3 linked regions of the Nothobranchius furzeri genome follow. The main gene of each other region encodes a partner of the protein of the gene in region 3 in a complex. Links are inferred from orthologs where the notes say so. Each region holds a gene or a part of one and is shown on either strand. Other genes may lie near its edges.

Region 1 (4,287 bases), on a different chromosome or scaffold from region 3:
ATACAAAGTACAACAACACATTTTTCAGCAGCCCAAAGTGCCACAACTCAAATGCACCAAACTTGATTTGAAATTAGGGCTAAAATAAACAGAACAACTCGTACCTTCCCCACTTCAGCATTTCCGAGGCTGATGACTTTAACCCGCAGAGACTTCTTGTTGTCACGTCTTTTCGGTGCATTTGTTTCCATTTAGACTGATTAACGCAGGGTTTTTTGCAGCAGAGCGGGCAGCTGCGACAGCAGGTGCTGTTGTTAGCGGGGCTAACAAGACTAACGTTCCGTTAGCTATCTGGCTAATAACGAGCACCACCCTGAAACCGAACGATCATCTGGTTAATTAACCACAGCACATTATTTAACATTGATACTGATCTTGTTGTTGGGGCTAAGCTGTTGTCGAAGCGCATATCAGACCCGAAGAGCTAGCTAGCATCATAGCATTCTCTTTCTTCTTCTCTTCTGTAACTCCTGTAGAATGACGCAGCGTTCCAGTAGTGCTGCCCTCCTCCGGACAACAAAACCCACTACATTTACGTTGAATGAAATCCATCAGATTTCTAGAAATTCTGGTTTTTATTATTTTCTCCGCGGTTTAGTCTTTAACTCAGTCAGTATAAATTTCAAAATGTCTTCTATTTATTTACCAATACTAACCAACTATGCTGGAGGATATTTGCAGCCCAATCCAAACATACTATGCCTATAAGAAGAATATTATATTATATAAGAATACGATGTATTTTACTCATTATAATGCTCAGCTGTATGCTAATTGTCCTAATATTTATAACATTTTTATGAGTTTACACCACAAAAGAGAATCCAGTTTCCCCTGGGTAGCTGCTGGGAATGTGACACTTTCTACTCCTCCCTCACTGATTCTCTTTTCAGATTTTTATTTTAACAAACTCAGATACACCAAAAACTAACAGCAGTGAAATAACATAGCCATTAGGTTCACTCAGCAGATGTAAGGTTTCTAGTTGAGTTAGTATTAAATTTGTGATTTTGACTCTTCTGTCTGAATGCTGCACTTTCACCTTCGTATCTGCCCGTAAATATTTGATTGGAGTCACACGGAGAACAGATCAATAACCAGCTGCAGAACTTGTTATTCAATCCTTCTTCTGTTCTGACACGATGTGGTTTACCTGCTCAGGATGAGAACGTGACCTCTGACCTGAGCTGCTGCTCCAGTTTTGACTGAAGATGAGATTCTGACTATCCCAGGTCAAAGACACAGACTGAAACTTTTTGCACACTTAAGGAATTTATCCCCAAAGATCACAGGTACAAAATCCTAGAATCTGATTCTAGACCGGTTCTGGACCAGGTTTCCCGGTTTCCTGTGAACAGAACCGGAACCCCGCTGACACATGGGACTGACCTACTGAGTCACACTTTGACCCTTTGGTAAATACTCCCCCACCCCTTCAGGGATCAGACGGCGACTCCGAGCGACAGAGTGAACACTACTGAATCACGGTTCTGGATCATGGTGGAACCATCCAAACGGGCTGCTGTTCTGCTGCTGTTGGTGCTGCACGGCTACGCTGCTCACGATGGTACCGACCTGTTATTCTGTCACCGCAGGAGAACTGGATCTGGTTCTGGGTTTTATGAGTTCTGTTTGTCAGGTCTGGAGCAGATGATCCAGTTTAACCCGTCTGAATCAGAGCTGTTAACATCAGTGGTGAAGAGGAACGAGAGGGCAGAACCTAAAATGATTTAATCCCTAATCTGACCTGAATTATGACACTAACAGAAACTGAACGTCCTGCCAGCAGCTTTGATCTTTTCTTTATTCTTCCCAGTTTTTCTCAACAGCCAGCAAGCGTTGCAGGTGCTGGTCCGAAGCAGACGAGCCAATCATTTGTTTGAGGAGATGAAACCAGGTACCTGTTTGACCTCTGACCTCTACATCATTAACCATCTGTTTACGATTCAATTATATTTTAAACAATCTGTAACAGTTTTACCCCGTGAATCGAAGCCATATCTGTCAGAGCCATCCCTCTTAAACAGGATTAGTACATTCCTCAGGCACCTGCTGGATTAAACACCATGTGTGGCTTCTGCCTTCTAGTGGACAATTTAAGTTCTCCAGATGTAAAGCGATGAATTTAATCTTTCTTGTTTTTAAAAGTAAAACCAATAAATCATTCAACAAAAAAATGTAGATTATTTCACATGTCACTGAAACAAAACTTGATTTAATACCAGATTACTGCTCAGTTTGTTTCCACGGTAACCACATATTCATGTGTTCACCTCAGGAAACCTGGAGAGGGAGTGTGTTGAAGAAATCTGCGACAACGAAGAAGCCAGAGAGGTGTTCGAGCAGGGCGATAAAACGGTGAGCCTTCCAACAGACTTGACATCAAATTAACTTTAATCTGAGATTAAATCAGATTAATCTCAGATTAAAATCTGAGATTAACTCAGAATCAAACTGTTCTTTTTCAGGCGGATTTCTGGACAACATACCTGGGTAAGCTCTGCTGGTACACTGCTTTTATTCATGGACACCTGCAGATATTTTTATTCAGTTTTATGGAAACAGATTTGTAGTCCTGGTTTCATCTTCTGATCAAAGAGATAAAACCAAACCTTCTCAAATTGTCCTCAAGTTGAAAATAATAAATCAACAAAAGTTTTTATTTCTGTGTCAGATAAATGATGCAGCTTTCCATGTAAATACTTTAGAGTTTTGGTTAGCTTTGGTTACTAGACTCAGATCAGAGAAGGTGAGTTTATTCAGCTGCTCAGCAAACAAGAACAAAGTCCAGAAGACTTCGGCACACAAACATGTCACGGCTCTTTCCACAGACTGTAAAGGAACCCAGACCAAACGAACACAAAACAGCATCCCCCTGATCAGAAAGTGCATCACAGGTAAACGTTAACCAGTCAAAGCGTTACCTGGTCATGTGATGCTAATGCTAACAGCCTGGTGTCTGCAGGCTACTGCATCTCCGGAAACGGCTTCAACTACAAAGGACAAGTCAACATCACACAATCGGGAAAGCTGTGTCAACACTGGAAACACAACTTCCCCCATCCTATCAGCAGGTAACCAGGGTCAGAGTAAACCAACCAAATTAAACCAGACTAACCAGTATAACCAATCGGAATGTAAGAAAATATCAATATGGCCAGGGGTGCACATCATATTTTTGGGTTGGTACTCAGGGGAGAACCTATGGCTGCTGCTTGGTCCTCACATTTTTAATGCACTTAATTCTTAACTCAACTCACAATAGGAACAAAACAGAGTAACGCGTTAACGATGCAACATATTTTTATTTTGTCTGAAAACAATAAGTACAACAGGTATATATTGCCAGCTTAACTTAAACCTTCTAATTTTCAAATAACATGACTGAATTGTCTGAATGTAAAACACAATGTGTAAACAGCTGCTTTTGTGATAACAAAAATCGAATAAAATAAATTTTAAAGCACTTAACAAAATTACTATTTCAGAGCACTAAAGTTTTTTAAATGGCATAAATGCCGTTTTTATTTCTACAGACTCTCATCATCCTCATCATGGTCCGGACTGCGTTCAGCTTCATTTCTGACTTCTCGAACAACTTTCTGATGTTCTCTGCTGTTAGCATGTTTATCAAACGCTGGATGATTGAAGTTTTGAGTGCCTATGTAAAAGGCGCTGTTTTTGTCTGCCAGGGTGGGATTTTCACAGCATAATCTGCATCACATCTCTGCGCGTTCATCGTTTTTTTGAAGCCAGCTGACCTCCTGCAGCCACTTCTCCGCGAATATTCTTGTCTTTTGCGGTTCTGACGCAGTCTGACGTTTTTTTTTTTTTTTGGAGGCGGAGGAACATCAAAATAATTACTTAATGGAGCTTGCTACTTGGACATCTTTAAAATGCTCCAGAAATGGCTTCCTTCCTCCAGAAAGTCTTATGGGCCATTCCCATCTGTACCGGGTCGGCCCGGGCCGGGTAGCGTAGGTTGTTTACATATCTGGGTGGCCTGGTATTTTTCCGGGCCAACCAAGGCTCATTCTCAGCCCTCTTCTTGAGAGGGTCTGCTTCAGGCCGACCAGGGCCAACACGCCCACTGCTGACAGCAAATTCACACCTTCCATTAGAGCAAGCCTCTGATTGGTGGGTAGAATCAGCCCACATGGGCTTAAGGCAAGGATGTGTGGAATCAACCGGGCCAGGCTGGGGCCGACTGGGGCTACCCGGCCCGGGCCGACCCGGTACAAATGGGAATGGCCCTTTAGGTGCGCAAATGCGTGCTGCAGCTTTTTT
Region 2 (4,207 bases), on a different chromosome or scaffold from region 3:
GCCAGATAGGCCAGTCCACCCCTGCAGTCTGAGCCCATTTGCCTCAGAAAACAGAAACATTTATCGGATCAAATGGTGACATTTGATGCATTAGCACAGATCTTAAAATTTCATTGTTTTACCACTTTACAAAAACTTGTTTTTTTTTTCATCTTTTAATCTGGGAGCAAAAGCTCTGAACACATTGAGTCAGCTTGTATTATCAAATAATTTTGTCTTTGCTTCCAGACAAATGTTTAGTTGTTTCTGAAGATCTGTTAAGCATGCATGTTTAGTACTGTGCTAGATTTTTCACCTAGCTCTTGTTTCTTTGCATGCAGACCAGTTGAGTCTAGATGTTCAGTGATTGAACGTGTTCTGCCAGGGCCGGTCCAAGCATTTTTGGGATCCTAAGTGGTTTTCTTTTGGACCCCCACATCAATCAGCCAACACCAGAAAATTCATAATTCCTAGGCTTCACATTGTGTGTAACATACCCAATTCCATTAGCATATTTAGTTATTAGCTTATTTTATACTGGCTCTTTAATGACTATTGATGTTTAACCTTACATTATTAGAAAAGTAACACATATGCTATAATTAATTTGCATTTTTAAATTCAGTGTTATTTAATTGTGGTATATTAATTCAACTATTTAAAAGTTATATCTGAAGAAAGAAAAACACAGAATGTATAGTAAACAAGTCAGGACTTTGTTCCTAAAATTTGGAACACTTTGAAATAACTGAACAAAAATAATTACATTATAGAAAATAATATATCATTCATTTTCCATATGTGATATAATTGTGTTTGTATAATTTAAAGTTTTTTTATTTCCATTCACGCTATCTTGGTGCTTTTGAGGGCCCCTGGTGGTGCAGTTACAATTCAGCTTTATTTTGTTCAGAGCTACCCAAACTTCTCCCACATCGATATGTGATGGAATAGCTGTGCAGCTATTTCATCAACACTTTCATTGACCAAAACTGTAAACGTGTTTTTACCCGGATGATGGATTAAATGCAGCTGGTGAAATTCTCTTCTGCTTTGTCAGAATTATTTTTTTTTTGGTTTTATGAGGAGGGCATATTTTATTTGACAATGAAAATCCTCTGTGCAACTAATTATGTCTGCACATGTTGCAAAAGCTGCTCAATATGACAACAAAAACATAAAACAGCTGATAATATCTACACACACACACACACACACACACACACACACACACACACACATTCTTCTAATTTTCTTTCTCATTCAGTCGTTTTCACATGCAGGAACACAGAAATGTAAAAGAACAAACACACTGTGGCCACACAGCTGAGTAAACATCTACTTGTTGCACTTTGGATTCATTTCCTCGACACTGATTTGGTTTTTGGGCTGGTGTGAAAACAGCAACATGGTACGAGTGTGTTTTCTGATTGTTATTGCTAGTTTTCATTTGGAAGTACATGGACTTGGTGATGAGACTAAAGAAGAAAACTCAGGTAAATACAGAACAGACATCAGAACTGGTATTGATTGAGAGGTTGAGTCAAAGCTTCGAGATGACGAGTGTGACCACCTGGTTGTTGAATATTGAAACAAATTAAAACTTCAACTTGGGAATTTCATTAAAACATCTGTATCCACACCAGCTTCAGTTTGTGTGATTGTCTCAGATGTGATTTTACTTGACTTTAATTGATTTCAAGCAAGAGAATATTTTCTGCTGCTTATTTTACTTGCTAAAATAAGATTTGATAAAATGAAATCAGTGGAAAACCTTAATGGAATAACTGCAGTCTTTCTAAGTGTTACTGATGTAGTCAGTCAAATATATCTTCATGAACAAACTCAGTTTGGAGAAACAGAGATTATCTAATCAGAGTGGGGCTTGGACTCTTGTGTTCCTGTTTCAGGAAGCAGACATTTGTAGAGTGAGATTGGGAGGAGATTTACTCATTAAAATTTCATGGTATGTGAGCATATCGTCTGTGATTGGCTAACCGCATTGCTACTCTTCTGATGCCTTTGATTGCTCTTCTTTTTGGGTTGTTGGTAATCTCCACAAATCTGAAGGAGTTCTGCTTTGTTATGGAGTTGTTAATGCTAACAGTTAGCATCTGCTTGCCAAATCATGCTCTGCTGTCTCCTGGACGCTAAAGAATCACAGCTTTCTGTAGTTGCAAGGCAAGATGGGTGAACCAATGATTGCTAACTTACAGTGTGATGTAGATGTGTGTGGCCTTTTCTGACCCGAGTGTTTTCCCATTTATCTTCTTTCAACAGCTAATGCAGGAAAAAGGGGTAGAAGACTGTTTTCACATTCTGCAGGCATATGAAACTCAGTGACCAATCGTTTTTAAAGAAAACAAGTGTTTTATGTTCCTCAGTCAACCTCATCTTTAACAGAACTTGTATCTTAACATATTCAAGGTTTTTCCTGCAAATGTTTATGTTTATGTTCATTCATTTAGGAGACGCTTTTATCCAAAGCGACTTACAATTTATAACCTATAGGGCATGTTGTGATCTGTGGGAGAAACCGGAGTACCCGGAGGAAACCCACACATGCATGGGGAGAACACGGAACTCCACAAAGAAAGGCCGCAGCCGAGCCGAGTTTCGAACCTGCAACCTTCGTGCTGCGAGGCAACAGTGCTAACCACTGCGCCGCCATGCAGCCAATGTTATCAACATTATTGTCAGTTTCACCAGCTTCTGCAGCACATCTGGCTCAATCACTAATAATTCTGCTCAAAAATATACATAACATCCATTCATCCATTTTCATCCGCTTAGAGTCGGGTCGCGGGGGCAGTAGCCTAAGGCAAGAGGCCCAGACTTCCCTCTCCCCAGCCACTTGGGTCAGCTCCTCGGAGGGAATCTCTCAAAGCATTCCCTGGCCACGTGACAGATATAGTCCCTCCACCATGTCCTGGGTCTACCTTTAGGACTCCTCCCGGTTGGACGTGCACGGAAACCTCACCAGGGACGCGTCCAGGAGGCATCCTGACCAGATGCCCGAGCCACCTCAAATGGCTCCTCTCGATGTGGAGGAGCAGCGGGTCTACTCCGAGCCCCTCCCGAATGACAGAGTTTCTCACCCTATCTCTAAGGGAGAGCCCAGCCACTCTTCAGAGAAAACTCATTTCGGCCGCATGTATCCGCGATCTCGTTCTTTCGGTCACTACCCAAAGCTCATGACCATAGGTGAGGGTAGGAACGTAGATCGACCGCCTTCTGACTCAGCTCTCTCTTCACCATGACAGACCAGTACAACGACTGCATCACTGCAGATGCAGCACCAATCCGCCTATCGATCTCACGCTCCAGTTTTCCCTCACTCGTGAACAAGACCCGGAGATACTTGAACTCCTCCACTTGGGGCAGGACCTCATCCCTGACCCAGAGAAGGCATTCTATCCTTTTCCGAATCAAGACCATGGTCTCAGTTTAAAGGAGCTGATTCTAATCCCAGCTGTTTCACACTCGGCTGTGCTTAGAAATCCTGTCCATAAAGGTTATGAACAGAATTGGTGACACGGAATCCAACTCTCACTGGGAACGAGCCCGACTTACTGCCAGCAATGCGGACCAAGCTCTGACACCAGTCATACAGGGACCTAACAGCCCATATCAGAGGGCCTGGTACCCCATACTCCCTGTGTACCCCCCACAGGGCCCCCCGAAGGACGCGGTCAAACGCCTTCTCTAAATCCACTAATGTAGACTGGTTGGGCAAATTCCCATGCACCCTCCAGGATCCCCCAAGGGTATAGAGCTGGTCCAGTGTTCCACGGCCAGGACGAAAACCACATTGCTCTTCCTGAATCTGAGGTTCAACAAGCCGATGGACCCTCCTCTCCAGAACCCCTGAATAGACCTTACCAGGAAGGCTCAGGAGTGTGATCCCCCTGTAGTTGGAACACACCCTGCGGTCCCCCTTTTTAACTAAGGGGACCACCACCCCGGTCTACCAGTCCAGTGGACTGCCCCCGATGTCCACGCGATATTGCAGAGCCGCGTCAGCCAACACAGCCCCACAACATCCAGAGCCTTGAGGAACTCTGGGCGAATCTCATCCACCACTGGAGCCTTGCCACAGAGGAGCTTTTTAACCACCTCAGTGACCTCAGAACCAGAGATTTGAAAGGCCAACCCAAAGTCCGCAGACTCTGCTTCCTCACTGGAAGACGTGTCGGTGGGATTGAGGAGGTCTTTGAAGTATTCTGCC
Region 3 (3,108 bases):
AGCATTCTCTGGTGTGAGTCGGGATCGAACCTGCAACCTTCTGATTACTGGACAAGCTGACATTCCTGAGCTGCTGCATTCCCAGGATGTGTGTAATGATCCTGGTTTATTTTAGGGAGATTGGTGGAGTGGTGAGGGGGCGGGAACGAGTGAGCGTGGGCTCTTCCCTTTGGGATCAGACGTTTTTCCTTTATTTGTTTATATTTTCTTTTTTACTTTTACTGTTTATGGATTTTAAAATGTTTGTTTTACAGCTCCAAATAATAAAACCACACAAAAAGGATAAACCATGTACAACGTTTAAATCTCGTCACCTGCTTGCGTGTCAAACACGAACCAAACTCACATTTTTTGTTAATAGAATCTGAAATCCTGAAATCTTACCGCCAAACAAAATCATTTATTCGTTTATTCCAGTCCCGTTCATCATAAATACATTTTAAATGTATGTTTTTTTATTTGTGTTTATTTTGCCACCACTCCTTTTCCTCGTTGGGAACCAGGACCTTTACCTGGGAGAGCTGGATGTTTCTGCTCGGCAGGATGATCACCATGGTGATGTCGTCTCCTCGGTACGGCATCTCTAGGAGCTGCACCTGGTCGTCGGGGAAGTACCTGTACTGGAACTTCATCTCCTGGTACATCATGTTGACCTGGCAGCTACGGTTGGCGTTGACTCTGAAGTCCGAGGGGAGAACCTGCTCTTTGGGAAACGTGTTCTTCCACTGACCCTGAGACACGGGAAATAAAAGCTCAGCCAGTGGGCATCAGTCCACGTCCAGAGGTGCCCCAGCCCGGTCCTCGAGGACCGGGGAGGGGCACCAGTAGGGTCAGAGCATCTTTATATGCAGACAATGTCCTGCTTTTGATTTCAGAATCTTTCCATAAGGAACCTCGTGGTTCTGGACTAAAACTCTCCACTGAACTTCAGCTTCGATACCTTGAAGTAGATGGTGTTGACCAGAACTAGAATGGTAGTGGAGTCCAAGGCCCCTGAAGGCAACGTCTCCTGGATTCGGTTCTCCGTCTTATTAGAGACCCACTCATTAATGGTGATCCGAGCCTGTTCTGGGTCCACCTAACGCAGAACACCGGAGTTACTGGTCCGACTGGTAAAGAGTGGAAATTCTGTCAACAAGACCATCTAAAGCGGGGTCAGAGGTCATTAGTTAAACACTGCAGATGAATTCAGCCGTCTCCAACATTTAAACCCGTTTCTGTTGTTTCATGTTTGATCAGATTACCGGAGAAGCAGCTGCATGAAATCTGAAATGTTTGAGAGGAAACTGTGATGCTGGGTTTGACACCTTGAAGTTGAGCGGCAGCAGCGTGGCTCCGTACACCGTCTCGCTGATGTTCTGGTACGTCTCGTTGAAGAAGAACGACTTGTCTCCGAACAGCCGGTTAGCGATGCGAAGCTCCGTGGTTTTGTCTTTCTTCCTGTACAGACGACAGTTCAGTTTGGCGAAGAAGAAATGGACCTGATCCGACGTTTTCTCCTTGATGGTGTCGAATTCAAACACCTGCGAAAGTAAAGGCATGTCAGAAGGAGGCAGAACTCAAGCACAGCAGAGAGGGACGCTGCTGATCAGGTTTGGGGTTTTCAGGCTTTAAACAACCAAGAAACATGGTAAATGGCCTGTATTTGTACAGCTCCTTCTAGGGTTATACAACCCCCCAAGGCTCTTCACCATACAATCAGTCATTCACCCATTCACACCCATTCACACGCTGGTGGGGATGAGCTACAGTGCAGCCACAGCTGCCCTGAGGTGCACTGACAAGAGGCGAGGCTGCTGAATGCTGGCGCCACCGGTCCCTCCGACCACCACTAGCAGGCAAGGGGGGTTAAGTCTTGCCCAAGGGCACAACGACTGTGACAGACTCAATTCCACAACCTTCTGGTTACGAGACAGGGATTAGCTACTCTGTCAGCGCCGTGTTCCAAACAAACCCACGTCATTTTACAGCTACTGTTTCATGTTTCCTGCTTTTGTTGGACCATTTCAGGCCCAGCTTCTTCCCTCTGGGTTTGAGCCCGCGCTGGACGCAAACCTTCATGATCTGCTCCAGCGTCCGGTTGCAGGCTCCCAGTTTGGTCATGGCAAAGGCGGTGGTGATGCTGATGGGAGACATGAAGACATTGCTCTCGCCGGTTCTGCTCAGGGACAGCCGCTTGTACAAAGACAAGGCAAAGCGGCTGTTGGCCCTCGACAGCTCCCACACCCTGCGGTTGGTGAACTCTGGCAGCTCTTCGGGATCGAGGGTCAGCTCCTCGGCGTTCTCCGGTTCCGGGCTGCGGTAGATGCAGCGTGGTTCTAGAGCGAGGCCCCTGGGTTTGGCGGTGCAGATGTCCAGGAACACGGCCGCAGACAGCAGCGGCAGCAGCAGAAAGGCCAGGAGCAGTAAGGAACCTGTAGACCTCATCCTGGGTGGAGAACCAATCAGACGACAGATTTAAGTGTGTTAAAAAGCAAACTAGATTTTAATGTCAGTTAGATTAAAAACACCCTTTGATCTAAAACCTTTAATCTTATGAGCTGAAAATGTTCCTGCTGCTTATTCCCGATGTTCTAAAGCAGGGGTAGGGAACCCTGGTCCGCCATCCAGCACGGTTTTTATTATTTATTTATTCTTTACTTAATCAGGAAGGTGAGATTATCCCTTGAGGTCCACTTGGCAGGAGTGAGGAGTGAGCACAACCTCACCCCTGCTGCATGGACCTCAAGAGATAAACCATCAATTCTGCTCAATGGTCAACTTTCCTGGCGTGGTCACCCGATAACACAGTGGAAGGGTATAAATGAAGGTGTACCAATGTCCCAACCTCCTGGTGGACAAAGAGGGCTGTCCCACTGGAGAATACAACTCACAATGATGGGTCGGTGGTCTAGAGTTAGTAATAAACCTCAGCGAGGCACGACAACCACGTCAATCTTACCAAGACACTGCGCTGAGGCAGTAGCGGTTTTATATGGCGTTTAAAGCGTGCCACAACCCGTGCACGCGCATTGGGTCCACAGCGCGCGTGTGAACGGGACTCGCGAGCGAAAATATACATGGCAGCGCGTGTGTGAACGGGACTCGCGAGCGGAAATATACATGGCG

Evidence for each region.
Region 1: the proteins of serpinc1 (region 3) and f2 are in contact, whole or in part, in a crystal structure (PDB 1TB6), measured with the Homo sapiens proteins. The link is inferred for Nothobranchius furzeri from reciprocal best matches to the Homo sapiens genes SERPINC1 and F2. Residues at the interface, in NP_000479.1 of Homo sapiens: Lys258, Glu264, Asn265, Arg267, Tyr285, Glu287, Gly288, Lys289, Glu345, Met347, His351, Ala419, Val420, Val421, Ile422, Ala423, Gly424, Arg425, Ser426, Leu427, Asn428, Pro429, Asn430, Arg431, Val432, Lys435; in NP_000497.1 of Homo sapiens: Leu389, Leu390, Cys391, His406, Cys407, Tyr410, Pro412, Trp413, Asp414, Lys415, Trp455, Arg456, Glu457, Asn458, Leu459, Asn506, Thr510, Trp511, Thr512, Ala513, Asn514, Val515, Gln519, Arg541, Ile542, Asp562, Ala563, Cys564, Glu565, Gly566.
Region 2: the proteins of serpinc1 (region 3) and f9b are in contact, whole or in part, in a crystal structure (PDB 3KCG), measured with the Homo sapiens proteins. The link is inferred for Nothobranchius furzeri from reciprocal best matches to the Homo sapiens genes SERPINC1 and F9. Residues at the interface, in NP_000479.1 of Homo sapiens: Glu264, Asn265, Arg267, Glu269, Met283, Met284, Tyr285, Glu287, Met347, Val349, His351, Val420, Val421, Ile422, Ala423, Gly424, Arg425, Ser426, Leu427, Asn428, Pro429, Asn430, Arg431; in NP_000124.1 of Homo sapiens: Lys247, Val248, Asp249, Ala250, Phe251, Cys252, His267, Cys268, Glu270, Glu285, Tyr312, Arg358, Phe360, Lys362, Gly363, Arg364, Ser365, Leu367, Lys387, Phe388, Asp405, Ser406, Cys407, Gln408, Gly409, Asp410, Ile429, Ser430, Trp431, Gly432.

The regions. Positions count from the first base shown.
Region 1 is NC_091743.1:82,279,674-82,283,960, reverse strand, and holds the start of f2 (prothrombin), read left to right. Parts: upstream 1-1,420; 5' UTR 1,421-1,497; coding exon 1,498-1,567; intron 1,568-1,816; coding exon 1,817-1,897; intron 1,898-2,278; coding exon 2,279-2,358; intron 2,359-2,468; coding exon 2,469-2,493; intron 2,494-2,831; coding exon 2,832-2,897; intron 2,898-2,965; coding exon 2,966-3,074; intron 3,075-4,287. Other genes in the region: dnajc27 (dnaJ homolog subfamily C member 27), read right to left, coding at 105-191. UniProt on the Homo sapiens protein: Thrombin, which cleaves bonds after Arg and Lys, converts fibrinogen to fibrin and activates factors V, VII, VIII, XIII, and, in complex with thrombomodulin, protein C. Functions in blood homeostasis, inflammation and wound healing.
Region 2 is NC_091750.1:56,279,874-56,284,080, reverse strand, and holds the start of f9b (coagulation factor IXb), read left to right. Parts: upstream 1-1,315; 5' UTR 1,316-1,387; coding exon 1,388-1,475; intron 1,476-4,207. UniProt on the Homo sapiens protein: Factor IX is a vitamin K-dependent plasma protein that participates in the intrinsic pathway of blood coagulation by converting factor X to its active form in the presence of Ca(2+) ions, phospholipids, and factor VIIIa.
Region 3 is NC_091748.1:78,330,966-78,334,073, forward strand, and holds part of serpinc1 (antithrombin-III), read right to left. Parts: intron 2,429-3,108; 5' UTR 2,428-2,428; coding exon 2,056-2,427; intron 1,524-2,055; coding exon 1,308-1,523; intron 1,079-1,307; coding exon 941-1,078; intron 732-940; coding exon 513-731; intron 1-512. UniProt on the Homo sapiens protein: Most important serine protease inhibitor in plasma that regulates the blood coagulation cascade. AT-III inhibits thrombin, matriptase-3/TMPRSS7, as well as factors IXa, Xa and XIa. Its inhibitory activity is greatly enhanced in the presence of heparin.